4 linked regions of the Arabidopsis thaliana genome follow. The main gene of each other region encodes a partner of the protein of the gene in region 4 in a complex. Each region holds a gene or a part of one and is shown on either strand. Other genes may lie near its edges.

Evidence for each region.
Region 1: SR45 (region 4) and ATU2AF65A share a complex: the UniProt entries of both Arabidopsis thaliana proteins name them as parts of the spliceosome.
Region 2: SR45 (region 4) and RSZ22a share a complex: the UniProt entries of both Arabidopsis thaliana proteins name them as parts of the spliceosome.
Region 3: SR45 (region 4) and SCL33 share a complex: the UniProt entries of both Arabidopsis thaliana proteins name them as parts of the spliceosome.

Annotation. Positions count from the first base shown.
Region 1 is NC_003075.7:17,292,491-17,300,969, reverse strand, and holds ATU2AF65A (U2 snRNP auxilliary factor, large subunit, splicing factor), read left to right. Parts: upstream 1-3,241; 5' UTR 3,242-3,360; coding exon 3,361-3,474; intron 3,475-3,655; coding exon 3,656-3,942; intron 3,943-4,041; coding exon 4,042-4,140; intron 4,141-4,236; coding exon 4,237-4,310; intron 4,311-4,743; coding exon 4,744-4,820; intron 4,821-4,892; coding exon 4,893-4,940; intron 4,941-5,025; coding exon 5,026-5,085; intron 5,086-5,178; coding exon 5,179-5,239; intron 5,240-5,324; coding exon 5,325-5,437; intron 5,438-5,557; coding exon 5,558-6,004; intron 6,005-6,130; coding exon 6,131-6,266; coding exon of another isoform or gene 6,267-6,539; coding exon 6,540-6,607; intron 6,608-6,693; coding exon 6,694-6,831; 3' UTR 6,832-7,023; downstream 7,024-8,479. Other genes in the region: AT4G36700 (RmlC-like cupins superfamily protein), read left to right, coding at 633-957, 1,043-1,221, 1,307-1,387, 1,544-2,527; AT4G36680 (Tetratricopeptide repeat (TPR)-like superfamily protein), read left to right, coding at 7,253-8,479. UniProt on the Arabidopsis thaliana protein: Necessary for the splicing of pre-mRNA.
Region 2 is NC_003071.7:10,446,755-10,453,002, forward strand, and holds RSZ22a (RNA recognition motif and CCHC-type zinc finger domains containing protein), read left to right. Parts: upstream 1-2,876; 5' UTR 2,877-2,949; intron 2,950-3,071; 5' UTR 3,072-3,082; coding exon 3,083-3,171; intron 3,172-3,260; coding exon 3,261-3,349; intron 3,350-3,444; coding exon 3,445-3,694; intron 3,695-3,786; coding exon 3,787-3,912; intron 3,913-4,069; coding exon 4,070-4,106; 3' UTR 4,107-4,430; downstream 4,431-6,248. Other genes in the region: AT2G24600 (Ankyrin repeat family protein), read right to left, coding at 5,676-6,248. UniProt on the Arabidopsis thaliana protein: Probably involved in intron recognition and spliceosome assembly.
Region 3 is NC_003070.9:20,628,189-20,635,811, forward strand, and holds SCL33 (SC35-like splicing factor 33), read left to right. Parts: upstream 1-1,881; 5' UTR 1,882-1,947; exon of another isoform or gene 1,948-2,180; intron 2,181-2,467; 5' UTR 2,468-2,487; coding exon 2,488-2,630; intron 2,631-2,853; coding exon 2,854-2,931; exon of another isoform or gene 2,932-3,498; coding exon 3,499-3,534; exon of another isoform or gene 3,535-3,696; coding exon 3,697-3,867; intron 3,868-3,959; coding exon of another isoform or gene 3,960-3,962; coding exon 3,963-4,091; intron 4,092-4,164; coding exon 4,165-4,507; 3' UTR 4,508-4,785; downstream 4,786-7,623. Other genes in the region: TAF7 (TBP-associated factor 7), read right to left, coding at 1-316, 463-582, 680-813, 1,188-1,302; AAE18 (acyl-activating enzyme 18), read left to right, coding at 5,183-5,451, 5,541-5,670, 5,753-6,003, 6,095-6,296, 6,378-6,418, 6,514-6,642, 6,717-6,793, 6,872-7,092 and 2 more. UniProt on the Arabidopsis thaliana protein: Involved in intron recognition and spliceosome assembly. Binds to multiple 5'-GAAG-3' repeats found in its third intron, suggesting autoregulation of alternative splicing. May be necessary for accurate splicing of the 3' region of introns.
Region 4 is NC_003070.9:5,674,960-5,682,838, reverse strand, and holds SR45 (arginine/serine-rich 45), read left to right. Parts: upstream 1-3,986; 5' UTR 3,987-4,152; coding exon 4,153-4,352; intron 4,353-4,474; coding exon 4,475-4,546; intron 4,547-4,629; coding exon 4,630-4,712; intron 4,713-4,900; coding exon 4,901-4,947; intron 4,948-5,033; coding exon 5,034-5,114; intron 5,115-5,204; coding exon 5,205-5,373; intron 5,374-5,462; coding exon 5,463-5,685; intron 5,686-5,756; coding exon 5,757-5,822; intron 5,823-5,961; coding exon 5,962-6,111; intron 6,112-6,343; coding exon 6,344-6,410; intron 6,411-6,519; coding exon 6,520-6,557; coding exon of another isoform or gene 6,558-6,561; exon of another isoform or gene 6,562-6,652; coding exon of another isoform or gene 6,653-6,662; exon of another isoform or gene 6,663-6,832; coding exon 6,833-6,914; 3' UTR 6,915-6,991; downstream 6,992-7,879. Other genes in the region: AT1G16630 (uncharacterized protein), read left to right, coding at 1-627. UniProt on the Arabidopsis thaliana protein: Involved in 5' and 3' splicing site selection of introns, and may bridge the 5' and 3' components of the spliceosome. Isoform 1 is required during flower petal development and isoform 2 is involved in root growth.

The sequences.
Region 1 (8,479 bases), on a different chromosome or scaffold from region 4:
GAATTATCCGTTCTCAGGCATACAAGTGCAGTTTGGTTAGGCACTCATACATACATACTAACATACACTAGCCCAACCACTATGGACAATTGGGCCTGTCAAATTTTCAACCTTGATGTACAGTACGTGTCCGTGATCATTATCTGCCCAGATGAAATTGAAATGTGAAAGATTCTCGAGTTTTCATTTCCAAAACACATGTTAATAATGCTAATACATAGTATTGGAAAATAAGCATATCCACTAATACCGATATGCATGCATATCTCAATATCGCATCGATGAAAACTATGAACTGCCATCACTTGGAACCGTGTCATTTAACTCGACTGTCGCGCGATATAAACTATGCATCTTTGTTGTTCATACCTTCACAACGTTATCATCAACAGTTATGATCACTTATCAGCCAGATTTTTCAAACTCGAGCTTTGTATTTTAGCGGCAATTTGTTTTTGGTAACAAAGGAACCCATGCACTTGTCAGCGTAAAGCAAACACGTGTCCAAACCATTAAGCCACGTGGTCATTGTCCGACTCTACAACCTCTCTCTGTTTCTTCTCTCATTCCTTTATATGATACTACGATTTAATACGCTTTGCATTGAATAACAAAAAAAAAAACAGAGCACAATGACTAGATTTGCGGTATTGCCACTCTCTGTTCTTCTTCTCGTTCTCTTGTTCCTCTGCACTGAGTCGTTGGCTAAGTCGGAGGAGTCTGAAGAATACGACGTCGCTGTGCCTTCATGTTGCGGGTTTTCGTCTCCTCTTCTGATTAAGAAAGATCAATGGAAACCAATCTTCGAGACGAAGTTTGGACAGATCTCAACCGTTCAAATCGGCAATGGATGCGGTGGAATGGGACCTTACAAGATACATTCCATAACGTTGGAGCCAAACACAATTTTGCTCCCTCTTCTTCTTCATTCCGACATGGTCTTCTTCGTTGACTCTGGTACATAATAAACTGTTTAAATTTCTTCGGTTTGGTTTACAGATCAGTTTCGGTTTAGGTCAAAATTGGATTGTGATTTGTATAGGAAGTGGGATTCTGAATTGGGTTGACGAGGAAGCGAAGAGTACCGAGATCAGACTAGGAGACGTTTACAGGCTACGTCCCGGTTCGGTTTTCTACTTACAGAGCAAACCGGTGGATATCTTCCTTGGAACCAAACTTAAGCTTTACGCAATCTTCTCCAACAACGATGAGTGTTTACATGTATAAGTTTGATATGATTCTTTCTTTTTTCACTTTCTTGACATCTTTTTCTTCTTCTTATTGTATCTGTATTCCATGGATGCAGGATCCTTGCTTTGGTGCCTATTCGAGTATCACAGATCTAATGTTTGGTTTTGATGAGACAATTCTCCAGTCAGCTTTTGGGGTATGTCTTAATCTGCCGATGAATAAGTTACGAATTGTCTATATCTTACTTGGGAAGCAAGATAGGAATTGTGTATATCTTACTTCCCAACTTACTCTAGTAGAGGATATTTTGGGTTGTATTAAGTGATATATTAAATTCAATGGTTTTAATTAGGTTCCTGAGGGGATTATAGAGCTGATGAGGAACCGTACGAAGCCACCATTGATCGTGAGTGAGACGCTTTGCACACCAGGTGTGGCCAACACTTGGCAGCTCCAACCGCGATTACTAAAGCTCTTTGCTGGAAGTGCAGACTTGGTGGATAACAAGAAGAAGAAAGAGAAGAAAGAGAAGAAGGAGAAGGTGAAGAAAGCGAAGACATTCAATGTTTTCGAATCTGAACCGGATTTCGAGAGCCCCTACGGTCGTACTATAACGATTAACAGGAAGGATCTGAAAGTTTTAAAAGGCTCAATGGTTGGAGTTTCCATGGTGAATCTCACTCAAGGATCGATGATGGGACCGCACTGGAATCCATGGGCTTGCGAGATTTCGATTGTATTGAAAGGAGCAGGAATGGTTAGGGTTCTTAGGTCTTCGATATCATCAAACACATCATCAGAGTGTAAGAACGTGAGGTTTAAAGTAGAGGAAGGAGATATTTTCGCAGTTCCACGGTTACATCCAATGGCTCAAATGTCTTTCAACAATGACTCGTTAGTGTTCGTTGGGTTTACTACTTCAGCTAAGAATAACGAGCCGCAGTTCTTAGCCGGGGAGGACTCGGCTTTGCGGATGCTTGACCGGCAAGTATTGGCTGCATCGCTTAATGTGAGTAGTGTGACGATTGATGGATTGTTGGGAGCTCAGAAGGAAGCTGTTATCTTGGAATGTCATTCTTGTGCGGAAGGAGAGATAGAGAAGCTTAAGGTGGAGATAGAGAGGAAGAAAATAGATGATGAGAGGAAGAGGAGACATGATGAAAGGAAGAAAGAAGAAGAAGAGGCGAAGAGAGAAGAGGAAGAGAGGAGGAAACGTGAAGAAGAAGAAGAGAAGAAGCGGTGGCCACCTCAACAACCACCACAAGAAGAAGAACTTAGGGAACGGCAACTACCGATGGAGAAAGAATGGGAAATGGAAGGTGAAGAGGAGAGTTAAGCCGGAGGAGTAAAAGAGAAGGCCAACGTACGTCAAGAGTGTGTTTGGTTTGTTGTTAGTGGTTAGAACTTTGGTTCTGACCTCTCTTGTAACTTTTTTTTTCCATAGTCTTGTTTATTTGTTAATGTACTTTTGCATTGTTTTTGTTGTTGCCATGTTTAAAGTTGTATTGTGTTTGTATAATGTTTTGTTTTGTTTAAATCTTTGTAGATGGTAAATGAGAAATAAGTAAATATTTCCGAGAGACTGTTGAGTGACGACGTTACTTCTTGTTATTGATAACTCTGTGGTTTATTATACACTTGTAGTAGTAGTCGTACTTGCTAACTTATGTCATTTGGTTTACAATTGTATAATGTATTTGTAACCCTCTTGCTATAGCTTCGGCATATTAAAGTTTTGAATGGTGATAACGGAGGAGTCGTAGATAATGCAATCAACTTCCCATGCTCTGTTCTCTTGTTGTTGCAAGAGATATTGGAATAAAAGGCAAATTTATCTCAAACACAGATTGGGCCATATCTTGAAAAGGCAAATTCATAAAACTCTCAAAAAGTAGATTTATCCCAAACACGAATTGGGCCAACTATTGGACCGGATGCGCTGAATAATGGGCCTTATCAGATTTGGACCGGCCTGTTTTTATATGACATTTACAAAAATACCCTCACAGGAGGTCCCGTGTTGGCTATAAAAAAATAGAATAATCCGTAATTGCCCTAAAATAGTTTGGTTTCTGCATCCACCCCTTTCTTCGAATCTCGACGGCTGAAACAGATTCTAAATTTATCTCCGGTGAGAAAGAGATAGAGAGCGTTGATTCCGGCGAAAAGATGTCTGAATTCGAAGATCACGAGGGAAACGGTACGGTTGCTGACGCGATTTACGACGAAGAGAATGGTGGCCGCGACGGCGAAATCGAGGATCAATTGGACTCGAAACCCAAGGTAATTTCCCCCCTGATTATCTTCAATCTCCTAGCTTATAGTTGGAGTTTCGAATCTATATTTCCTAGCAATTGGATTGAATTGAGAATCGAATTATGAGATGATTAGTTTTAAAGCTGCTTCTGTTTCATTGATTCTTAAACTGTAATTGATGAGGTTTTGGGTGTGTTTACATGTGCAGAGAGAATCGCGTGACCATGAAAGAGAGACATCAAGAAGTAAAGATAGAGAAAGAGAGAAGGGTCGTGATAAGGACAGAGAAAGAGACTCTGAAGTCTCTCGCCGAAGCAGGGATAGAGATGGAGAGAAAAGCAAGGAGAGGAGTAGAGACAAAGACAGAGATCATCGTGAGCGTCATCACAGAAGTAGTCGTCACAGGGATCATAGCAGGGAGCGTGGTGAAAGAAGAGAACGTGGTGGTAGGGATGATGATGATTACCGTCGAAGCCGTGATCGTGACCATGATAGGTAGACTGTTCTTGAATTGAATTATACATTTTCAATTTAGATTGAATCCTTTTTGATTTTATGGAAGGTACTGATTTGGCTTATTTTTTATTCTTCTAGGCGGAGAGATGATAGAGGAGGAAGACGCAGTCGTCGATCTCGATCTCGTTCAAAGGATAGATCTGAGCGCAGAACAAGGTCACGATCTCCATCGAAAAGGTAGCATTTTTTTCTCATTGGATTACTTACTCTTCTATGAAGTAATTGCTTCAATCTAAGAAAGTTTCTAACCTCACTCAATATATGTTGTTGCAGTAAGCAGCGAGTCAGTGGATTCGATATGGCACCTCCAGCCTCTGCAATGTTAGCTGCTGGTGCTGCTGTTACAGGTATATCTCTTTAATTTAGCACCTTCTCATTAGCATAATGTAGAATTCATACCTAATACACGTACTGGGATTGATAAAATCTGTTTCTCCTGAATAACTACAAAAACATAGGCTGTTTTCTTTCTTTTTTTACTTGGGACATAACGCTAGAACTGAGAGCTTTTGGTTGTTTGGTGGTCTTTGTGTCTCTTGTTTGCTTTTCTGTTTTGGTAAGGCAACACTGGGTGTGGGCTGGTTAGCTCTTATATACAAGGAAGAATTACTGCGTATGGGTATTGCTCATCCTCAGTACATATCACTGGTTTTGTTAGTCTTGCAAAAATTTTCCATGCAGACTTAAACCTCTTGATGTCACCAATACATTTCCAGGGATGGTAAACTAGGTTTTCTCATATGTAATTTTCTTATGTATTAACCTGTTTTTCTTTTGTAGGCCAAGTTCCTCCCGCTCCACCAACTCTTCCTGGGGCTGGAATGTTTCCCAACATGTTTCCATTGCCGACTGGACAGGTCTGTGGTCTTTCCCTTTTAATATTTTCTTAATTGATGTCTTTCTTGAACTAAGTCGTCTATGTCCTACAGTCATTTGGGGGACTCTCTATGATGCCAATTCAGGCTATGACACAGCAGGTTAGATTTTATTTATCATGGATATACGCAAGATACTATGTATTTCTCTGTTCTAATTTAATCCTTATTTACTTTGTGTCTTCAGGCAACTAGACATGCTCGCAGAGTCTATGTCGGTGGGCTTTCCCCTACGGCAAATGAACAGGTTATTATCCACTTTCTTTTTTCATTTTCTCCCACTGAAATATGTTTCAGCAAATAATGATACTAACATTGATTTATTATTTTGTATTTGCAGTCTGTGGCTACATTTTTTAGTCAAGTTATGGCTGCTGTTGGTGGAAACACTGCTGGTCCAGGTACATAATCCTGGTGCAGATGCTAGAGTGTCTATTATGATACTTGGATTAATCTTTTTTTATAAATCTTTTTTCTTACTCGCAGGTGATGCAGTTGTTAATGTCTACATAAACCACGAGAAGAAGTTTGCTTTTGTGGAGATGCGATCTGTTGAAGAGGCAAGTAACGCTATGTCTTTGGATGGGATTATATTTGAGGTATGTTTTAATGTTTACCGCACTACCAAATATTTGGTTGAGTTTTAGTACTGGCATTTCTTTGGTATATAGGTTACCCAACTGAATGCTTATCTTTCTTTTTCTTTTTTTCTTTTCCAGGGAGCTCCGGTGAAGGTGAGGAGACCTAGTGACTATAACCCATCTCTAGCTGCGACTCTTGGTCCAAGCCAGCCCAGTCCCCATCTAAACTTAGCTGCTGTTGGTCTGACTCCAGGTGCTTCTGGTGGGCTTGAGGGACCAGATCGTATTTTTGTTGGTGGACTTCCATATTACTTCACGGAATCACAAGTGAGGGAGTTGTTGGAGTCCTTTGGAGGCCTCAAGGGCTTTGATCTTGTAAAAGATCGAGAAACAGGGAACTCTAAAGGATATGCCTTTTGTGTGTACCAAGATCTTTCTGTTACAGATATCGCGTGCGCTGCCCTAAATGGTATCAAGATGGGAGATAAGACTCTTACAGTGAGACGTGCCAACCAGGGAACAATGCTACAAAAGCCTGAACAAGAGAACGTATTATTGCATGCACAGCAGCAAATAGCTTTTCAGGTAATTTTTTTTCTTCTTAATAATATTGGAAGAAAACAAAATGAGCTTGCAAAACGTGTTGAGACCTAACTTGAATATTTCCATTTATAAGATTAAAAGACTGATTGATGGTTTTATCTTTTGCAGAGGGTTATGTTACAGCCTGGTGCAGTGGCAACCACTGTGGTGTGTCTGACTCAAGTTGTTACTGAGGATGAGCTTAGAGATGATGAGGAGTATGGAGATATAATGGAAGACATGAGACAGGAAGGCGGAAAGTTTGGTAAGAGACCTCTTAATTGCGCAATATGGTCTATTTTGAAATATAAGATTAAAAGCATATTGATCTGTCTCTCTGTTTTCTTGGTTGTGCTGTTTTACAGCCTTTTGCTATAAAGAATCAGCCCTAACATACACAGACAGGAGACTGCATAAACCTCCTAATCTATTTATCACCAATGGCCACTATTTCTTAAAAGAAAAAACTGACTTGTTTTTGTCTGTGTTTTCTTGTCTTGTATTCGAAATGTTTTGTTCTTTAACTCTTAAAATGCAGGTGCTTTGACCAATGTTGTGATTCCGCGTCCAAGCCCCAATGGTGAGCCAGTGGCAGGCCTTGGCAAGGTAAACTTATCTCTCTCTCTTTCTCTCTACTTCTTGTATATTTCTATTTAGTCGTAATCTGACTGTCTGATATATTTAATGTGCAGGTGTTTTTGAAGTATGCCGATACAGATGGCTCGACTAGGGCAAGATTCGGGATGAATGGTAGGAAATTTGGAGGAAATGAAGTCGTTGCAGTGTATTACCCTGAAGACAAGTTTGAACAGGGTGATTATGGAGCCTGATCACTTCTTTGTTTGCTTTCTATTACTTAAAAGTTAAGTACTTTGCTTCAGTTTCAAGACCCTTTTGCGTGATTGTAAGAGTATGAGATTATCGACACGTTGCTTATTATAACGTTTTTATCTCATATCTTTGGTCTATTTCTTAAATATTTATCTCAAAAATTATTCACAGAATAACATCATGAGTCCCTCGTAAAACATCATTCGTCTCTCGTAAATGTGACATATGTTCTAAATCAACACAAGAAGTTGAGTACTCTCTCTATTGAAATATTCAAGTAGTTTGGTTCTCTTCTGATAGAAGAAAAAAGAAAGAAAAAGAAGCAAACTTGTAAAACCCAAAAATCTCTGTTAAGCCACTAAAACCCTAAAGGCGTCTCCTTTTCTCGCCACCACTCTCCACAATACCCATTTCTGCAAAATGGCTTCTTCTCGTATTTCTCTCCGCCTTGTTCGCCGATTTGCCTCAGCCGCCGCTGACGGTACGACCACCGCTCCCTCTTCAGGCAAAATCTCTGTCTCCAAAGCTAAGTCCACTCTCCGGAAAGAACACGATCCCGACAAAGCTCTTAAGATCTACGCCAATGTCTCCGATCACTCAGCCTCTCCTGTTTCATCTCGCTACGCCCAAGAGCTCACTGTTCGTCGCCTCGCCAAGTGTCGCCGTTTCTCAGACATCGAAACCCTAATTGAATCCCACAAAAATGATCCCAAAATCAAAGAAGAACCTTTCTACTCTACGCTTATCAGATCTTACGGCCAAGCCTCTATGTTTAATCACGCCATGAGAACCTTCGAGCAGATGGATCAATACGGCACACCCAGATCAGCTGTTTCCTTCAACGCCTTGCTCAACGCTTGTCTCCATTCCAAGAATTTCGATAAAGTCCCCCAACTGTTCGACGAAATTCCTCAGAGGTACAATAAGATCATCCCTGACAAAATCTCTTACGGTATATTGATTAAGTCATACTGTGACTCTGGTACCCCTGAAAAAGCCATTGAGATTATGAGACAGATGCAAGGTAAAGGCATGGAAGTTACTACCATTGCTTTCACCACCATTTTGAGTTCATTGTATAAGAAAGGTGAGCTCGAGGTAGCTGATAACTTGTGGAATGAGATGGTGAAGAAAGGCTGTGAATTGGATAATGCAGCGTATAATGTTCGTATAATGAGTGCTCAAAAGGAAAGCCCTGAAAGAGTTAAGGAGTTGATTGAAGAAATGAGTAGTATGGGATTGAAACCTGATACGATTAGCTATAACTATCTTATGACTGCGTATTGTGAGAGAGGAATGTTGGACGAAGCTAAGAAAGTGTATGAAGGACTTGAAGGTAACAACTGTGCTCCCAACGCAGCTACTTTTAGGACATTGATATTTCATCTTTGTTATAGCCGATTGTACGAGCAAGGCTATGCGATCTTCAAGAAGAGTGTGTATATGCACAAGATTCCAGATTTCAACACTTTGAAGCATTTGGTTGTGGGATTGGTGGAGAACAAGAAAAGAGATGACGCTAAAGGGTTGATTAGAACGGTGAAGAAGAAATTCCCTCCGAGTTTCTTGAATGCGTGGAAGAAACTCGAGGAGGAACTCGGGCTGTATTCAAAAACCGATGCTTTTCCATCTTCTGCAAAAGAGGCT
Region 2 (6,248 bases), on a different chromosome or scaffold from region 4:
AAACTATTTCGGAATGGCCTATAGTGGTAATGATGGCCTATTTTTCGGCCAAAACTGTTTCAACATAAACTAGTGGTAACGTAAACTATTTCCCTCTTCCTTCCCGTTCGCTGAACAAAAACGTTTTTGTTAATTTAATAGTTTAATAACGTTAATAACATTATCTCTCAATCTCCTATAATGTGAATACACAAATAATATCGTTAATCTCTATGATTTTTGGTAAGTAAATAGTCTCTCAAGCGAATTTTAGATGTGTAATTTCGCAAAATTTAGTTGGTTTTCTAATGCTATATATTAATCTCTAAAGATATTTGTTGGAACTGTGAAGTTGCATGGGAGTTTCAACAAAATGCAAAGTTTTTTCGATCCAAAATTTACCTTCTAAATGTGTGATTCTGTTCCAAATTGGTAAACACGAGTCGTTTTTTTTTCTGACTAGAAAAAAGTTACAACGGATGTATATGTGACATTTCAAATTTCATGATCTTAAAAAATGGAAAGTAAATTAGAGGGATGATAGCAATATTAAAAGGATGACATAGCGATCGTGAATTTGTGATTGTGAAGTTCTTGACCAATTGTATTCTTGGGGAATATGGTGGAATGAATATAGAGTCACTTCGCTCTTTTCTTAGTGCTCACCATTCGTTTTTGTTCGAAAAGACAAAATCCCTTATCCACTGGTTATTAGTTTATTAACAAAAATCTTACATTTTATATGAATGGGACACTCTTAAAAGAATATTTAGCAATTTGTAGGAACAACTTGTACATTCTAAAATCGATATTTAGCTTATAATTTTAGAATCACTCTTCTTTTTCTTTTTGAACAATAGAATCACTCTTTTTTGTCCATATTTTAGGATTTAATTAGAATAACATCGAAACTAATTTCTATGATTTATGTAATGTCATTTGCAAGATGTCTTCACCAAACATAGAAGCAGTGTTGATTACCAAAAAAAAAACATAGAAGCAGTGTTTCATGTCTTAAAACCTATAAAAAAGAGAAAAATTATAAAATAGAGCACGTAATAATTTATAAATTTTATTAATTATTTCTCAAAATAAGTCGTAATTGAGTGCCGTTTTAAAAATCTTGAGGTGAGCTTCTCTCCATCTGAATAGAAAGAAGAGAAAAGGAATAATTCTTGTCGTCATAGTTCAAACTTCAAGTGGACTCTCGACGACATTTCAATAATACACACATACTTATCTAATCCTGTCACTGAATGGAGTCTTGGTTCAAGAAAGGTGCGCACTAAATAGTAAATAAAAAACTACAAAATTATATCATTGCTCTTGGGAATGATTGGATGTTATAGGCTAATCCCAAATTAATATCTGGACATAATATATTGTCACGTCCGGTTTTTGTTAAGTGACTGATTTAAAAGTGAAACTCATAAGTGATAAAGCACAAAATTACGATTTAGCCTCTATTGTCTTTTCCAAACAAACCATTCTAAACTAGAACCATGGTTCAAGTGGTAAAAGTTTTTATTTGAATATTGTGATTTTGGGAGATATAGGCATGGGCAAAAAAACCCAATAATTTTAATAACTGACCAAACTGAACCGTATCAAAACCAAAGTTCTTAAAATAATCGAATGGTTAGTTGTTAATGAGAGAAAGTTACACTCGAAAATTAGAAAAATTATCAAGTAATATACTTATAAATGATTAGTTTCATTGCCAATTGGTTTTAAGTTAGAAACTCATCTTAAACCCAAATATGTTATTAGTAAAATAAGGGTGATTCAAACCATTTCTTCTCTAGAAAAAGCATTAGAAGAGCTAAAGATGCACTCAGTTAATAATGCTAGGATGATGCTAGGATTATTAGCATTAGAAGAGCTAAAAGGTTGTATCTTAGCCTCTTTAATAATGCTAGGATGATGTGATGGAAATATGTTGGTAGCAGAAGGTGAACTTCGAGGCATGAGTGGTTACCATGCCGTTGTCATGGTCATAATTATGTTCATTTGTACACACCTACTAGCATTACGCAAATAAATAATAGTGTCAAAATTGGTTTTTATGGTTATATCTTTGTTTGCCTATCGACTATATATCTAGTGATCGATTCCGATGAATAAAGTAGAGGATTGGTTAGGCCTACAAATAGGCTGATGCATCTATTGTCTAATTTGTGATGCTTAATGAGTGAATTATTATTATAAATAAAAATTTGAACGAAATAGTTTTCTTCACTTAGTTCAAAAACTAGAGGTAATAGTCTCTCTCTTTTTTTTTTTTTTTTTTTTTGGGTCAAATAGTCTCCCTCTTAAGTTTTATTTTCCTCTCTCATCCTCATCATCTGAGATGTATGGGTTAGTATATACATAAAAGTATGAGCATAAAAAGAGCTTTCTTCATTTACATAAAATATTCAGTGGACATAGAAAAGAGCTTTCTTTATATTTTTTAATTAAAATTTGAATTTACGACGAGATTTCAATTTGGGGTTTAGAAACAGTGTTTTTCTCAGGATCTCTACTTGTGAAGTTTTCGCTTGTGTTTTCTTAGTGTTTTCTCCTTGTGTTGTGTTGTAGTTTTTGGGGATTTATGTAGATTTCAATTTCTTTTTTTTTTGTATTTTCGGTAAGTTTTATCAACTTTTTTTGAAAATCGTATAAATACTTAAGAGTGATACTCATTTTTTTTTTGAATTCCTTTTATATGCTGAGAGCTTTTTTTTAATTTTGAATTATTATTATTTAACATCTGACATTTTAATTTTATAATCAGTAATTGCATGAATATGAGGCATTATTGTTACTGTACCATATCGCATGCGGCCCATTTTAAGCCCAAATCAAGGAATAACTTTTGAAGGACATTTAAAGTTGACCCACAAAAAATAACTTTCATCTTCAATTTCGAATCGATAACCCTAATTTCTCACAGACGAGCAAGAGAAAGAGCCAAAGCCGTTTCTTCAGGTAAATCCCGATCTCCGTTGTCACTTCTTTACTCCAGATTCATTCGTAGTTTCGATCTATAGATTTCATCTTTTTGAATTCATCGCTTTCAAAGTTTTTGAATTGAAGCCTTTTGTTGATAGGTAACTTGAGGATGTCGCGTGTGTATGTTGGTAATTTGGATCCGCGAGTTACTGAACGTGAACTCGAGGATGAGTTTCGTTCCTTTGGTGTGATCAGGAGGTACATAAATTGACTCCTTTTTGGTTTTTAGTTGATGTAAAGTGTGTGAATTTGCATTTATCCTCATTGTTCTTTTGGTGTCTGTGCAGTGTCTGGGTTGCTAGAAGACCTCCTGGTTACGCTTTTCTTGATTTTGAAGATTCAAGAGATGCCCGTGACGCCATCCGTGAAGTAGATGGTATTCGTTGGTCTTCTATTCTACTGGTCTGGTTTTATGAGTTGTTATGAGTTGTTATGAGTTTGATATATATATGATCTATATTGTTATGGTAGGCAAGAATGGATGGAGGGTAGAGCAGTCTCATAACCGTGGTGGTGGTGGAGGTCGTGGTGGTGGTCGTGGAGGAGGTGATGGTGGTCGTGGACGTGGTGGTTCTGATTTGAAGTGCTATGAGTGTGGTGAGTCTGGTCACTTTGCACGTGAATGTCGTTCTCGTGGTGGTTCTGGTGGTAGGCGTCGTAGCCGCAGCCGTAGTCGCAGTCCTCCTAGATACAGAAAGAGTCCTACCTATGGAGGACGAAGGTTATTGTCCCTATTCTTTCTGATTGACGATTTGCAACTAAAAGAAATTGGTCTACCTCATTGATTTATTACCTTGTCTTTTGGTTTCACAGAAGTTACAGCCCTCGTGCTAGATCTCCTCCTCCTCCAAGACGTCGTAGTCCTTCTCCTCGTGGTCGCAACTACAGTAGGTCACCACCACCTTATAGAGCACGTGACGAGGTGCCATATGCTAATGGGTAAAACTCCCCTTGCTCTTGAGTCTACTGTATCTCAATCAATATAAGAAATTGAAACTGAACTAGTGGCATTATCGTCCCAAAGACTTTTTTGTTAGACGTTGTGTTAAAAAACAGAGTCCATGTGGCTGATAAGTTTTTGTATTTGTTTATGCAGAAATGGTCTGAAAGATGTGCGCAGAAGCCGGAGCTGAGTGTTACTTGTCTAGATAGCAAATTATGGGATCAGGAGACAACTATTTGCTTGTGACGTCAAGAGGAGAGGAAATTAGTATCTGTGAATTTCACTAAGAGAATATGTTTTAGCTGTGTGGTGGATTGGATATGCTTGCTACTTTTGAATTGCTGGAAAGCTTCTTATTGCGTTTGGATTATGAAGCCATAGTTGTATCTGCCGTTAGGTAAAGTACTTTTAAATATCTACCCATGTTCTTAAAAGACATAAACAAAAGCTCTGCTAAAAACCTATGCATTTTCTTTGTTTTTTGTTCTATCATCTCGAGGTTTCTTCAGGTTTCTACTGCTTCATTGCTTATCTGCTTTTGGCTTCTTGGTTAATTTGGTCGGCCTGCTATGGGATCTTCATAGTAGTTTACCACAACTTCTGCTTCATTGCTTATCTGCTTCTCGCTTCTTCGTTATTTTGATCTGCCTACTTTGGGATCTTCATAATTGTTTACCACTACTTCTGCTTCATTGCTTAACTGCTTCTGGCTTCTTGGTTATTTTGATCGGCCTGCTTTGGGATCTTTATGTTAGTTCACATCTACTCTGCTTCTCATCTAGATGCTCTTATGTTTGAAAACTTCATCGGCTCTGATGATTGCTGGTCTTGCTTTTCTTGAACTTAAAATGGCCGAGGAGTTGCACTTGCTACTCTGGCAGGTATTTAATACCTTTCAGGCAGGCTTCGAAGAAACTTGTCTTACGGTGTAGAATAGTTTAGAGTATGTAGAACGTCTCTGCTTTGTTTGAGGTGGGCACTTGGATAAACACTTATCGCCATCTGCAATAGTCATTCCTTTGGTTTCATCACGTTTGGTACATGGACTAATCTTTAAACGAGAGATTTTTCTGCTCATTGGTTTCAATTTCATCATGTTTGATTCAAGGATCATTCTGTCTTTATTGAAGGCTTTTTGGCTGCCTCCTCTTCTGATGATGCTTTGGTTTAAAACCCTAGTAAAAGGAGTAGATTTTCATAAGTTTCTTATCTTTGTCCTGTTTTGTTGTGTCCTGAAAATACTTATTTTTTATGAAAAATAATTTACAGATATCCAACTTCATGAGTTTGTTCACTTTTTATATTTAGCAAAACTTTGTTGTCATATGTTTTACTTATCATCATAATCAACTAAACATGATGACGACGATATCTCCTAACAACTAGAATCGAGCAATTTTGTGTTCGTACTTATTCAAGTGACTAGATTTGAAGTTGTTATTTTTGATGAAACATGTACTGAGTATTGATATAAAACATGTAAAACATCATTGACAACATTTTTCATTCTTTTTGGACTTTAAATGATAGAGATAACATAGGTGAGACCAGTTTACACGAAACTCCTTAAGTAGGGATGCATCATACAATGGCAATATAAATCTGCTTCAAGTAAATCTTGTGCCGGTCCCTGTGAGGAGAAGAAGCTCATCAAGAAAATCACTTTAGACACTCAAAACCCATAAGATAGGCTGCAAACACCACGGTAAAAGCTCGAGCACCAGAGAGAGTAGTCTCGTAGAAAATTTACCTTAAAGATTCAATAGGTGAAATAGCCTGACCCTTCTGAGGCGGCCAAGTCTGAGTTGGTCCTTGCTAAGGAAGGCATTTCACCTTCATTTTTTGCAATGGCAGGTATATCTTCTACACGGTTATTTTTGATAAAATAAATAGGTAGTCCTCTCCCTACACGATTCATCTTCTTAAACCAGTGACTGATGGTCTCAACTCCTAGATAGGAAAAGAGTACCGTCAATGATCCACCAGCTACAGAGATAATAACCGGAAATAACCATCGAGTTCCGGGAAAATGCGGTATGGTCACCAAAGATGCCGCAACATAAGCCGTTGCCATAAACCCTACAGAAACCCACATCATCCTGTGAGTGGCCACCAATAATTTCTTCAAGGGTTTCCTCTGGTAAGGTATGATGCTAACGAGAAGAATAACAATGCACAAGGACGTGAACAATGCAATGTTGTTACATATTGCAAAGACTTTAAATGCTGCCGTATTACCTACAAGCGATTTCCCTTTCCATGGCCCATCTTGGTAAACACCGCCCGGCGGGTTTATCCCACCGGCATAAGAAACTGAAGCAATCAAGACTGC
Region 3 (7,623 bases), about 15 Mb from region 4:
TCTTCTGATTCACTTCTCTCCGGTTCAACTCCTGTTGGATTACTAGTGCCTGTCTCAGGAGCTTCAGGCTTTTCAACAGGTGTAGGTGAAGAAGAAGATACTTTCTTACTTGCATTACTAGCATTCTCGTTCGTAGCTGGTTCCTCTTGCTCATGTACCTACACCAAAAAAAGTTCAAATAAATGAAGTTACTAAATCCAAGGAGCAAATATAGACACATCATGTGTCGAAAATAGAAAGAAAAGCTTACATTTTCTACCGTTCCGCCACTCAATATATTCAACAAGTCTCTCTCAACCCGCTGTACAAGCTCCGGCTGCAACATTTTGGCAAATCAATATGTTAACTTAATAGAAAGAACTTTGGAGTTCCAAAAGATACGTTTCACTACAGACTTTCAATCATAATCACAAGTATTAGTGAAACAATGTTGATGGATAGATAACAACAAATGAAAATTACATTAAGGTCAGGCTCTCGACGAAATCTCCTCTTTCGAGCATCCTTCATTGGAGGAGTTAGACCATGTCTGTATTCAACTGTATTAGGCGCAGGATCACCAGGCTCCCTAACCATGATCATCTGTGTGCCAAATCAAAGCATCCATATTGAGTTTTAGTCCAAAATTACAGAAGTTAACGCATATAAGTAAAAGATGAATCAAGTAACTTGATTTTACCTGCCCAATATCAGCAGTTTTGACTAATGCACAATCATCATAAGTTTTAAAAGACTCAACAACTGCAGGGAGATCAAGCAGAGAAGCCGGGAACTCGTCGTTTCCAATCATAAACGTCCCGTTTCTCCCATCCTCTGCAAATTCAGTTCACACAAACATTACGTATCAAGTTTGCTCCAGAGACAATATGCAAATGGATTTCTAGACAAACTATAATGATGCAACAAGAATGTCTTTTGGCTTCTTTGACAAAACAGACAATTCACAACATTAAGCTGATCCAGGAGACACAAATCACAAGCTTTGATCCTTAATCAGATTCAAGAATGTCTTTTGGGCAAACCAACATTCAAGAACTCATCACGTGACACAAGGAGCAATCCCCGAAACGATCCAGACACTAATTTCATTGATTGACGACTAAAGGACATAAATTTAAGAAAAAGGATGAAACTTTAACCCAGATGTAATGTGCCAAAAAAGAGAGAAACCCTTTAAAAATTGGTACCTGAAAAAAACAAATCCAAAGGGATTTCGTCGGAAGTAGAAGCATCCTCGCTTAAAAGCCGATCAATTCGTTCTGAAACAGACGGTGGAACCCTAAGTATGAACTGTTCTTCCATTGTAGATACCAACAGCTTGACTTGAATTCTTCTTCTTAATCAATCCAGAAACGTGAATTCGCGAACGCAGATCGTATCGAATACGTATACTTCGGTCTGTTGATGTCGTAAGTCGAAAAGAGACGAGAATCTATTGAACTGAAACACGAATTCTTTGTTATGTTAGAGAGAGAGAGAGAGAGAGAGAGAGAGAGAGACATTATAAGATAAACCTTCTAGAAGTATCCTTTTAACAATTTATTATTTTATTTCCCTCCCTAAAGGTTTCAAGATTTATGTTTTGACCAAAATAATTATAAAAGGTACAAACAGAACCCAACAATTGGTGAAAAATCACCAATTTGCTATTTAATTCTATTGAATTTTACATTTTTAGTTCCTCTTAGATAATTGATCTCACTAAGTATAAATGTATAATGATAATAAAAAGGAAGATAATTTAATTACCAGAAATTGGAATGGAGCATCTATCAAATAGAAAACTTTAAGGGGATTTTAATACTTTAAAATAATTTTGAGGGGGTTAAATGTAAAACGTAAATAATATAAAGAAACCCTAATAAATAAGTCGTTCATTGATCAATCTTCTCCAATTCTTGCAGCATCACTTCTCCGTCGTTCCTCACCACCGAGATTCGTTCACCGGTAAGTCTTATCCCTGATATTTTGCTCTTCTTCCCAACCGTATATACCCGTATCTTCTTCTTTCTCTGTCGAATAAACTTGGCTTTTCCGACTTCGATTCCTTCAATTGTAAACAACTTCGTTGCCCGTACAACTTTTTGAGTCCGGTGAAAGATCCCGTGACGGAAAAAACTGTAGATCAGGCAATTATTATGTCTATACATCGATATAAAGGATTGAATCGTTCATCTTAAGTAAGTTTGACGAAAGTTGTGATCTTTTGTGCCTATTCACATATAACGTTTCTTAGCTCCTATCTTTTGAAATTGAGCTGATTCGATCTCTACCTGAATTGCATGTGATCTTATTTTGATATAATTTACTATTCAATTAGAAAATATGATCTTTCTAGATTGATTGCTTCTTTAAAGTTCTCTTAGACGCTGGTGTTATAGCTCTTGTGTTTGTGGTCTCTTCTCTCTTAAATATCCAACCTCTTTTGGTGTATTTTCTAATCTAGTTTGTGTTGACTGACTGATAGAGAGATTGAAGCTTGACTCAATGAGGGGAAGGAGCTACACTCCGTCACCACCTAGGGGTTATGGGAGGAGGGGTCGAAGCCCAAGCCCTAGAGGCCGATATGGAGGTCGTAGCAGGGACCTCCCGACCAGTCTTTTGGTTCGCAATCTACGCCATGATTGCAGGTACATACTTTTGACTTCTCTATTATTTTCTTCAGCCATTGTGGATGATGTTATTGTTTGCACACCTCTTAAGCAAGAAGACTTGACACCTCTTAGCATATTTTGGCATGATGTTCTCTTATCTTTACTGTAAAGGTTTTCAAAAAGTTGACGTCAATGTATCTTCATTTCTTGGCTTTTAGCAAATTGTAATTCTCTTCTTACTCCTTGTCCTTTTCTTCAGGCAAGAAGATCTCAGGAAGTCGTTTGAGCAGTTTGGTCCTGTCAAGGACATTTACCTGCCAAGGGATTATTATACCGGGTGAGCATGTTTTGTAAATAGGACAACCAACACTTGATTTTTACTTATGTTCTGATTAGAAAATATCCCTATTTTCACATCTTCTTTCTTGATTTGTTTACTACGTTTATCTGCCTTTCCTTTTTCTTTCGGTCATCTCTTTGTGTCTTCTCATGGATACTAGGGCCTTATGAGAATCTTCTTAAAAACTGATTTCATAAATTAAATTTAGGCTCCATATTTTTCAGATAGTAATTTTCTGTGACATGACAATAGACAGTGAGCATACTTGTGGTCTTAAACCACTAGTTTTCGGTGTCGTTAGGTGGATTAGTCGTTTAGAATTTAGTACCTGGTGAGACCTCATAGTTTTTAGTCGCTTAAGGAAAAGGATACATGATGATATGTTCCATGTCTGAACACACTATGAGTGAGTTAATTGAAGTTGTTGAGGTTTAGCAGTGAATCTAAAGAATTGAAGACATCAAAGAAGTAATTAGAGTTCTTATGAAGATGTTCTATATGGTAGTGAAGAATTGAAGTGAAGTTGAGTTTGTATTCTATGTGAAGATGAATCAAGTCTTCAAGAAGTCATCTTTGTACTGACACTTGCAAGGCTAGCAGGCAAGTGCTTGCTTTTTTCATGTTTACTGATATCTTCGGTTGCAGGGGATCATATCGCCAGTTGTCCTTCAACAGGATTGTTATAAAGTGGTACATCTTCCTCGCCATTTTGTATGTTTGGTTTCTAGTCTGAGATCTTTTTGTTCTACATTTTGAATGCAGAGATCCGCGAGGGTTTGGGTTCGTTCAATTTATGGACCCTGCTGATGCTGCTGATGCAAAACATCACATGGATGGTTATCTTCTTCTTGGCCGTGAGTTGACTGTCGTGTTTGCAGAAGAGAACAGAAAGAAACCGACTGAAATGAGAGCAAGGGAGCGTGGTGGAGGAAGGTGCATGAATCTTTCTCTTTTTGAACTATTTTGGTTATTGTCAAATATCAAAAACTCAATATTTAACATCTTTTTTTGGTTCGTTGGAGCAGCAGATTTCGGGATAGAAGACGTACTCCACCTCGTTACTACTCTCGCTCTCGTTCTCCTCCCCCTCGACGTGGTAGATCTCGGTCACGGAGCGGTGACTATTATTCTCCTCCCCCTAGAAGACATCACCCAAGGTTTCTATATGTTTCTGTCTAAGCTCAATTACAAACTTCTCCACGCTTGTATGCTCACTGTCTATTGTCACAGATCTATCTCGCCCAGGGAAGAGCGATATGATGGGAGGAGGTCATACTCGCGCTCACCTGCCTCTGATGGCTCAAGGGGTCGCAGTTTAACTCCAGTCAGAGGTAAGAGCCGCAGCTTAAGCCCCAGCCCTAGAAGAAGCATAAGCCGTAGCCCAAGAAGAAGCAGGAGCCCAAGCCCAAAAAGAAATAGGAGCGTTAGCCCAAGAAGAAGCATAAGCCGTAGCCCTAGAAGAAGCAGGAGTCCGAGGAGAAGCAGAAGAAGCTACACTCCTGAACCCGCCAGAAGCAGGAGCCAAAGCCCGCATGGGGGCCAGTATGACGAAGACCGTTCACCAAGCCAGTGATTGATTCGTCACTCTTTTGCTAGTCTTCTCTAGATTATGGTTGTGTCTTGTACCCTTATCCTAAGACGAAGTTAAGATGATACTGAAAAGCCGAGAACTTTATGTTTTGGGTTTTTATGTTTTGATCTATGGAACATGTGGGGAACATGGTACTGTTATTATAAGTTCTTTAAGATATAATCTGAGGTTATTATGATAGTTGCAACATTGGTCAACCACACAAGGAGCTCATGGAGGAAGCTTTTTGGATTACTTGCGAATATATCAGCTCTAGTTTTTGTTATCCGTCGTATCAACCAAAGCATTTTCAAGAGATCCATTAATCACATCAAAAGCCGCGTTTTGGATATGTTGCACTGGGCGGAAGACGGATGGCTTCGCCGTCGTTTTGAACATGTCATCGTTTTGGTAATACTAACGTTAATTGCTATTCTGAATAGAATTGGTTTCTTTGATGAATCAAGAACTCAGCAGAGCCAAAGAGTATGGTCCGATGTTAACTGAGGAGTTGGGTTTTCTTCATAAAGATGAGACCTTTTCTGTTTTAAAAGCAAAACAAATCGCCATTTGGAGCATTCTCGTCCACCGAATCTACCTACCAGTCTACCACCATTGACAAGCTTTAAACTTTAAACTATAAAAAAGGCAACAACTTGTATAGAGAGATAGAAAGAGATGTGGAAGAGCATAGGCGAATTGAGTTGCGATGATTATGTCAAAGCTGGGTTGACTTTGGAAGACGCCAAGGAATTTGACAAATTGGTGAGCGATGTGATTACAAAGGCTATAGAGACTGATCCAAGAGATCAATGGAAAGCTTTGGTAGATGAGAGTGTGCTTAAGCCATGGCATCCACATCCTCTGCATCAGCTTCTCTACTACTCTGTCTATTCAAACTGGGACTCCTCTGTTCATGGCCCTCCTCTCTATTGGTTTCCTTCTCTGTGCGTTTCATGAACTTGTTCGAAATTCTGATATTTATCTGTAAAATACAGCTGATTGTCTGTTCAATTTCTTCTTTGTGTGTGTTTAGATCTCAGTCAAAGTCCACCAATCTGGGGAAGCTGATGGAATATCACGGACCAAGACTTCTTGGTCCTTCATACAAGAACCCTCTTGAAAGTTTTGAACTTTTCCGGAGATTCTCAGTTGAACACCCTGAAGTAAGCATCAACGTTGAATGTTGTCGAGCAAAAGAATCTTTGTCGCAGCTCTGGTTTGGTCTAATGTAAACATCATTTTCAGGTTTATTGGTCATTTGTTATCGATGAGCTTTCACTTGTGTTTCACACTCCTCCGAGGTGTATCCTTAACAAATCAAAACCTGAAGGGACTTGGCTCCCTGATGCAGTTCTTAATATCGCTGAGTGTTGTCTGATGCCTTCAAGCCATCCCAAAAAGGAGGATGATAGTGTGGCTGTTGTATGGCGTAATGAAGGGTTTGATGACTCTCCAGTCAATAGAATGACCATTAAAGAGCTTCGGGAGCAAGTAATGTATGTAAGATGAAACTCTTTATCAGTCATTCTGTTGTGTGATCTCATTATTAAGCTTCCAGTGGTGGTCTTGATACATTTACTTGAAAAGGTTGGTGGCAAATGCGATAAGTGGAAGTTTTGAAAAGGGTGACACAATTGCAATCGATATGCCAATGACAGTTGATGCAGTGATTATATATCTCGCAATCATATTAGCTGGTTGCATTGTTGTCTCCATCGCAGACAGCTTTGCAGCTAAAGAAATAGCAACAAGGTTGAAAATTTCGAAGGCAAAAGGCATATTCACTCAGGTTTGTGACACACCCTGACTCACATCTTTTCGCCTTGTATCTATCCCGTACCATGTGAAATATCTCTTATTGCGTTTTCAGGATTATATACTCAGAGGAGGTCGAAGGTTTCCTTTATACAGGTGACAAAATTGATCTTTCTGTGGCTGATTTTGCAACTCAATGAATGAACAACATAATAATTATATCTAAACTTGTCTCTTTTTTTTTCCTGTAGTCGAGTGGTTGAAGCTGCTCCATCTAAGGTCATTGTCCTCCCGGCTTCAGGTACTGAATTGCATGTTCAGTTAAGAGAACAGGATGTATCATGGATGGATTTTCTTTCCAACGCCAAACCCCATTCTAGGTAAATTGTTTACATCTCTACACTTGCAATCACTCAGAGAGTGTAGATAAGACATGCTCCAATTTTGCTTGCAGTGGAGAGAACTACTATCGTCCGATTTATCTACCTGTAGAGTCTGTGATTAACATTCTCTTCTCATCTGGAACTACAGGTAAAAATAATGTGATCATCAAATTGTAATAGATTTTGTTTAGATGCATCTAATGATTAGTTCTTTTTTCTTAACCAGGTGAGCCGAAAGCTATACCGTGGACACAACTATCACCAATTCGTAGTGCTTGTGATGGATGGGCTCATCTTGATGTCCAAGTGGGTCACACATATTGTTGGCCTACAAATCTTGGATGGGTAATGGGACCAACTCTTATGTTCTCCTGCTTTCTAACTGGTGCAACTCTCGCTCTCTACAGCGGGTCTCCCCTTGGCCGCGGTTTTGGAAAGTTTGTTCAGGCAAGACATCTCCATTGTTGTCTCCTTTTCAATTTTAGTAAGGTTCGATAAATCCTCACTTATTTGTGCTTGATATTACTTCAGGATGCTGGAGTTACAGTTCTTGGTACTGTTCCAAGCTTGGTGAAAACTTGGAAGAGAACAAACTGTATGGAAGGGCTTAATTGGACAAAGATTAAGTAAGGAGCAACAAACCTTGTTTTGTTTTCGGGTTTATACGAGAAATTTTAACTTAGAAGCTGTTGTGTTTTGTTAGGTTTTTCGCCACTACAGGAGAAGCTTCCAATGTTGACGATGTTCTCTGGCTTTCTTCTAAAGCTGATTACAAACCTGTGATCGAATGCTGTGGAGGCACGGAACTTGCTTCGTCATACATCATAGGAAGCCCTCTTCAACCGCAGGCTTTTGGAGCGTTTAGCACACCATCCATGACAACTAGAATCATCATCTTCGATGAAAATGGCGTCCCATATGTGACAAACTGAAACTTTAGACATTTGGAGTATTTTCTTAGAATATCCAGAGATTGAT
Region 4 (7,879 bases):
GGTAATGAAGTAGAAGAAGAAGAGAGTGGGTTTGGTGAAGTTGTTAATGATGCAGGTTCGGAGGACATTTTGTTGAGTGGCCAGAAGAAAGTGTTAGTCTTGTTTTCGACTATGATGGTTATACTTGCAGCAGTAGCAGCTGGTTTCCTATTAGCCAAGAAGAAGACAAAACCTGTGATGCTGCAACATGAAGATGGCGAACCAACAGCAATCTCTGCAACTAAAGTTGTCGAGCATGTGCCAGTAGAGAATCTGATCAGAGAAAGGCTTTCTTCATTGAATTTCAAGGAAGAAGAAGAAGAAGTTGGTGATGACAGAAAAAGAGAGGTATCATCATTCCCTTCTGAGATGAGTTTCAGCTTCAGTAAGAACAAACCATTACACAGCTGCAGCAACAAGAAAGATGATCTTAAAGAACATCAAAGCGGAGGAGGAGGCAAGAAGAGTAATGATAGCGGTGAATCCATGGCTTCCTCTGCATCAGAGTACTCCATAGGTTCTGTTTCATATGGAAGTTTCACAACATATGAGAAGATACAAAAGAGAAGTGGTCACGAAGAGAAAGAGATGATAACACCTGTGAGACGTTCAAGCAGGATCAGGAACCATCAACATTCTGGACAATGAGTTAGAATTAGCTTTTGACTTTATGATCTACTGATTTGTAGGAAGGCTTTTCCATCTCACTGAAGCTTAATTAGTATGTTGCTTTCTTAATTAGTAGGTTTGATTCTCTTCTTTAAAGTTTCTGGCTTTACTATTTGTTTAAGACATTGTACCCCAACCTTGTGGCCTAGTTTTAATAATATTGTTCATGTTATCTGAATCCTCTTCTTTGTATCTTGCAAAAACGATGGACAATTTTCAAACACCATGATTCATGATTGTAAAAGGTTTTGCAAGAATAGGACCAAATGGCGTTGGAAGTGTTTTATGATGATAAATCAGATTAGTTTATATAGATGTAGAAGTGTCAATTGGGCTGTCCAAAGCCCATTGGTCATGTCCACTTGGACCATTTTTTTCATGGGTTTTATTGGTTGGTCTTTAATGGACAATGGTCTAAAAATTTGTCCAAGACCATTAAAGACCATTGTCCAATGGTCAGCCCATGGCCAGCCCATACAATGATGTTTATATACAATGCATTTTCACACAATCTCGTCAAAAGCTCTATTTATAAAACCATAACATCAACATGAAATCAAACATGCATGTACCTGTTCTTCCCAGTCTTGTAATCAACCGTGACAACTCAAACACGCATCTAAGACTCTCTATATGCACCTACAAGTAAAGAAAAAAGCCTACAATGGCTACATGGAGAATGATTTAACAGAGAAACCCATTTCAATACTACTCCAACATCTAGAAATTGGAAACCAGAAGTGGCCATCTTCAATAAGCTTAGGTAAAACAATAAGCTTAAACAACATTTCCACAATGTAATCAATCACAAATGATTATAAGTAAGAGACAAAATCCAGAATCAATTCCAAACCAAAATCTGTCATCCAAGTTGCAACCTTAGACCGGATACCATCACAACCTATAACAATCTGTCAAAGACATACATCATCAAATCAGCCATGTACTGAGAATAATAAACACATAACCATAGGCTCAGAGCTTAAGAGAACAACCATGTACTTGTTTCTTCCCAGTCTTGAAACGTTCATGCAAGGGTGGTGTTTGTGTCCTCTTGACCTTGGATCTCATCAGTTTCTTCAATAAGAAAAACCGAGCTATTAATCTAAAAGCTGCAGTCCAAAAGCCATATAAGTTTACTATTATAAACGAGTTCAAGATGTGAATATTACCAACTTCTTGAAATCCACGAAACCAGTTTCTAGTACATAGGAGGGCTTGCACATTAGTAGGTAAAAGGCAGCTTCTATATTTGTTAAGCACACGACTACCTATACTAAAAGCTGATTCCGATGCCACGGTAGTGATCGGAATGCTTAAGATATCACATGCCATCGATGACAATTCTTTAAAACGCGAGACATTGTTTTTCCAATATGCAATAACATCCATATCTCTAAAAGAGACCATATCTAACACAGGCTCTTCCAAGTACATATCTAATGGTGATTTTCCAGTTCCATTTCTTTCAGAAAAGTAAGAGTAAAACCCCTGAAATATGACCAACAAAACAAAATTCTCACTAAGTATAAGAATGCATTTTCAGAAGCATTATGCTTTAAAATGCTTTGCATAGTATCATTTGCAGAAGCATTATCTACAGTTAAAGTAAAAACTTTCTTCTCAATTCCCCAATCTTTCAACAGCTCACTAAGCTTCATTGCTATAGCTACTCCAGAATGTGGAGGCGGGAAAGCACAGAAAGATAAGATCTTCGTTTTCAGAACACCATCAACATCTACATAATGAGCTGTTAAGCAAATATAACTTTCAACAGTTAAAGCTCTCCACAAATCTGTTGTTAAGCATATTCTACCCGGGATTATAGCTAACTTTTCCTTAAGCTTAATTTTCTCTCTTTCATAAATCTTGTAGACATCAGAAGCTGCAGTATTTCTGCTCCAAAATTCTATATAAGGGTTAGCATATGTAAAGGCTTCTCTAATTCTTTCATATTCGACAAACGAATATGGAAGATTATGTTGAACTAAAGCCACTGCAATCATTTCTCTAAAGACCATCATATCCACCTTTCTGCTAATTCTAGGTGTACTTCCAGGAGTCTTCTCACAAGATCTCATATGACGATTCATGGTATTAGTACCATTTCGTCTCAGATTCAAGTGATAAGTCTGCTCACAATATTTGCATGTAACCTCAGTTTTCCCATTAGGATATTTCTGTCCTCTATCGAAGTTTTTCCAGCATGCAGCACGAAATCTACTTACACTACTTTTACCTCTCTCAGCTGTCCCTGAAGAAGCAGTTTCATGAGGTAGTATCTGATCCATTTCTGGATCTTCATGGTCCATTTCTTGATCCTCAAGATTAAAGTTGTCTTCATCAACCAAGTTTTGAGTATCCAATTCCATATTTCTGAAACAAATAAAGACATACACACGTTTAGCAGTGATAAACAAATAAAGCATGAACTTGACTAAATCACTAGCCTTCTGGAATAATTAAGCATGAACTTACAACACAAAGGGTCTCTACATATTGATGTGCTTCAATTCATAATGAAATTCGAAATGGCGAAACATAAACAAAATCTGAAAAGTGCCCATTTGCTAGCTAGCTCTCCTCATATCCAAAATTCACAATTGAACTTTGGACAAACCCACAAGCTAGTAGAACTAACCGGAGTAGGAGTTGAGAGAGAGGTCGAGCTTGGTCGTCGCCGAGAGAGAGCTTTGTCGCCGGGAGAGAGAGCGTCGTTGCCGAAAGAGAGAGAAGAGAAAAAAATTTATGTGTTGAAAAAATTGATGGGCCAACCATAAACCGTGTGGGCTAGCCCATTAAACCCATGGACAAAATTGGTCTTTAGACCATATAGCCCGTTTTCATTACGGGCCGACCATGGACTGTCCATAATGTTGTGGACTGGGCTTAGCCCATGGTCAGATGACCATTTGACACTTCTATATAGATGTATGAATAAACCTTAATGGTTTCGGTGTTATTCAATGACTAGATTCAATCTAAGATACTTTGATTTTGAGATTGCTCTTAAGTTTGTACCAAGGCAACAACAATATCAACAAATTATGGGACAACAAGAGAGCTATAGAAAAATGGTATCTAATTGATCCTAATTGGATGGTGTACACGACCACAGACAATCGATTACAACATTTTATAAGTTGTTGAATTTTTTATGGGAGTTACTAGCTTTTCTGTTTGAATTTTCCTGTAGGATTTGAAGAACTTTTGATTAGTGACACATTCAAATCTGATATGAAAAATGGGAAAGGACACAAATTGAGCTCATTATGGTATTTATACTTTATAAAATGCTTTAAAAAACATATAAATCCCTCAATTTATCAAGCAAATAAAAACCTGCCACGTATCATCTTCGGTTTAATTTGCAGTCCGCGGAAAAAAAAAGGAGACTGGAAAAAAAAAGTCACAGTCTGTCTGTCTGTCTCTCTCCTCTAATCTTTTTTATCCGCTAGGGTTTTGAAGCAAGGTTTCTCGCGATTTTCTCGATATCTCTCGCCCATGGCGAAACCAAGTCGTGGCCGTCGTTCCCCCTCCGTGTCTGGCTCGTCATCTCGTTCCAGTTCCAGATCTCGTTCGGGTTCGAGCCCCTCCAGGTCTATTTCCCGCTCACGCTCCCGTTCTAGATCGCTCTCTTCATCTTCATCTCCTTCGCGAAGCGTCAGTTCTGGGAGTCGCAGTCCTCCACGTCGTGGAAAAAGGTTAGGGTTTCTTTCAATCACTTACCAATTGTTCGAATTGGATTTGTGTAATTTCGCTTTCATTCTTCTTGGTTCGTTCAGCTCGAATTCGAATTGATGTTCTGATGTATCTTCTTGTGTAGTCCTGCTGGACCTGCTAGGCGAGGTCGCTCTCCTCCTCCTCCACCATCTAAAGGAGCATCTTCACCTTCCAAGTAATATCTGACTCGTTCACATAAATATATTCTAGTGTTTATGCTTTCGTCATTACTGACTTTACAATCTTTTATGCTTTCAGGAAAGCTGTTCAAGAATCTCTTGTTCTCCATGTTGATTCTCTTAGCAGGAATGTGAATGAAGCCCATCTCAAAGAAATCTTTGGTATGTTGATTTCTCTTTTCTCTGTTTCTTCTGCTTCTTCTAATCTTACTACATGATAACTGTCTACACATGTCCGCTAATGTCATCAGTAGTGTATACGGCATTACGATCATCACTGGTCTTTTGTTTTCCTTGTGTTGGCTAAATGTTAAGTCTTATAACATGGCTTGGTTTCATGTTATTATTAGGCAACTTTGGTGAAGTTATACATGTCGAAATTGCGATGGATCGAGCTGTAAGTTGCTATTCTCTTTACTCTCTGTTGTTTACTTGCATCACTTGTTGAAATCTGCTCATAATTCCTTTGAATATTATTAACAGGTTAATCTTCCAAGAGGACATGGTTATGTTGAGTTCAAGGCAAGAGCTGATGCTGAGAAAGCTCAGCTCTACATGGATGGTGTATGTCTCTTTCCAATTATGAAATGCACTGTACTTGACATATTGACAGAGAAGATTTATGCATGTTTTTTTTTTGTTCACTGAACACAGGCCCAAATTGATGGAAAGGTTGTTAAAGCAACGTTCACACTACCACCTCGTCAGAAAGTATCTTCACCCCCTAAACCTGTCTCAGCTGCACCAAAAAGAGATGCTCCAAAATCTGATAATGCTGCTGCTGACGCTGAGAAAGATGGTGGTCCCAGGCGCCCAAGAGAGAGTATGTCAAATCCTTATATTTTGGTTATTTATAATTGTTGTAGTATATGCTTTATGTTGTGTTAATTAGTATCATCAATATGTGCTTAGCATCTCCTCAACGGAAAACAGGGCTTTCTCCGAGAAGGCGATCACCTCTACCTAGGAGAGGCTTATCACCTAGAAGGCGATCACCTGATTCTCCCCATCGCCGGAGGCCGGGCTCTCCTATCCGCCGTCGCGGTGATACACCTCCTAGACGTAGGCCAGCATCACCATCTAGAGGCCGTTCTCCATCTTCTCCCCCTCCAAGACGATATAGATCTCCTCCAAGGTTAGTTATGGCACCATCTGTTTTGTCTGGTGTGTTTCAGATTCGATAGCTCACCTTTTATCTGTCAGCAGGGGCTCCCCTAGAAGAATTCGTGGCAGTCCTGTTCGAAGAAGGTCTCCTCTTCCTCTAAGACGAAGGTATGTCTATTTGGTACCTGAATTACACCCTTAGTAATCGAAGTTTAGGAATCACAGCTTTATAGACTATATTACTCAGTAAATTAGACCGGGAAAAATGTGTCAGTTTTATATATGTTTTGTATTCGGCGTGTTTCAGGTCTCCACCTCCAAGGAGACTACGCAGTCCTCCCAGAAGATCTCCAATCCGTAGGCGTAGCCGATCCCCAATTCGTAGGCCTGGTCGCTCTCGTTCAAGTTCCATCTCACCCCGCAAGTATGTTGGAACTCATTTAAACTTTTTTCTGGGGTCTCTCTCGTGGGTTTTATTTTGTTACAGATGCATAGCTAAGACTGATTCATAACAAGTTTTTAAGTCTTTCATAATTCATGAGTATACCCCAAGATCCTACATTGTCTTATCCTTTTACCTAGGTTTCTGACATACCAGCTCCTAGAGACGTTGATACCCAATATGACTAAGTTATATAGATCCGTCTGGGGTTTGTTCATGAATTAATTTTGTCTTTAACTGTAAGCAGGGGACGAGGTCCAGCTGGGAGACGTGGGAGGTCATCTTCTTACTCTAGTTCACCAAGTCCCAGAAGGGTAAGGGCTTCTTGCAGATCCCTTTTTAGCTATAAAATTTTTGATGCCTTGCGAGTTATATGTCTTGACTCTTGACTTTCTATCATTTGTGCATTATTAAACCTTACAGATTCCTAGGAAGATTTCAAGGAGCCGCAGTCCTAAGAGGTAAACACTTTCTGTCTTAACACTAATCCTCGTCTTAAACTGGAAACACTTTATAGTCTGTAGAATGCATTAATTGAAGAAGTTCCAATGTTAAGTTATGTATAGTAAAGTTAAGGGTTACCCCAATTCCTGATAAAAGACATAGCATAAACATCTGGGACCTATACTTTCTTGGTGAGTTTGGTGATGAAACAGAGAAAAATAGAATTGTTGTGTAGAAATTTTTTGCGTTGAAGTCTAATAAAAGAAAATGGGTTGTTGTTGGGTATGTTTAGGCCACTGAGAGGAAAAAGAAGCAGCAGTAACAGCAGCAGCAGCAGTTCACCGCCACCACCACCTCCACCTCGTAAAACTTAAAGGTGATAAAAATTAAAAAAAAAAAAAAAAAAACTTGAGTCTTGATGTAGCTCTCTTTCTCCATCTTTATCGTTATCATCTGTCTCAGCCTCTTTTCTTAGAACAGATAAAATGTTTACCAGTGACCAAATGAGAGTTGTGGTTTTTGTAGTGTTTGGATGTTTAATCTTCTTTTGTGGATCTCCTCATTAGATGCAACGATAATGACTTGGTTCTTTTAGCTGGTTGTAATTCCCTAATATATTCAGTCTTGTTGAAGAATGGCTGGCTCCTTCACCCTTTTCTTATTATTTTAGTTAAAAGAGAAAGAAATCCATACAAAGACTGGTGATCCAAATACACAAGAAATTGGTTTTTTGTTTCATTCAGAGAAATAAATAATTATAATTTAAGGGCTCCTAAGATGCACAACAACAATTTTGCATCAAACCATGCATCTTAATGAGAGTGCACAAACTTTTATTTAAAACGAAAAATAGAGTTTTCCTCAACTTCACACAGTACATACCACTCAAAGAAAATAAATATACATACCACTCTGCAAGTGCCCATATGGGGAAGATGTTTCTGTAGGTAACATAGTTTAGAAAACAGTTCTTCATGAACACTCCTGTCATTTCCTGCACAACAGAGCAACAACTCTGTTTTTATAATCTAATAAATACACACACCATTCTCTGATCCTGTATGTATTGAATCTTTGGAAGAGAGTGTTGAGGATAATCTCCGTTTTCTAATTGTAAATTGATGATTAGTAATTATTAAAAATATATATAAATATGTAGTCAAATTTCTAACTTGGAACCAATAATTTTGAAATAACCACTTTCGTTTTTGTTTACACGGAAAGAGACTATGCAAGTGTTAAGAAAGAAGACAACGTTGTGGTTAATTTTACAACTCTCTTCTGCTACCGGTGAGGTGACCACACAATCCCAAACATGTTTATAATGCATCTTGGCATT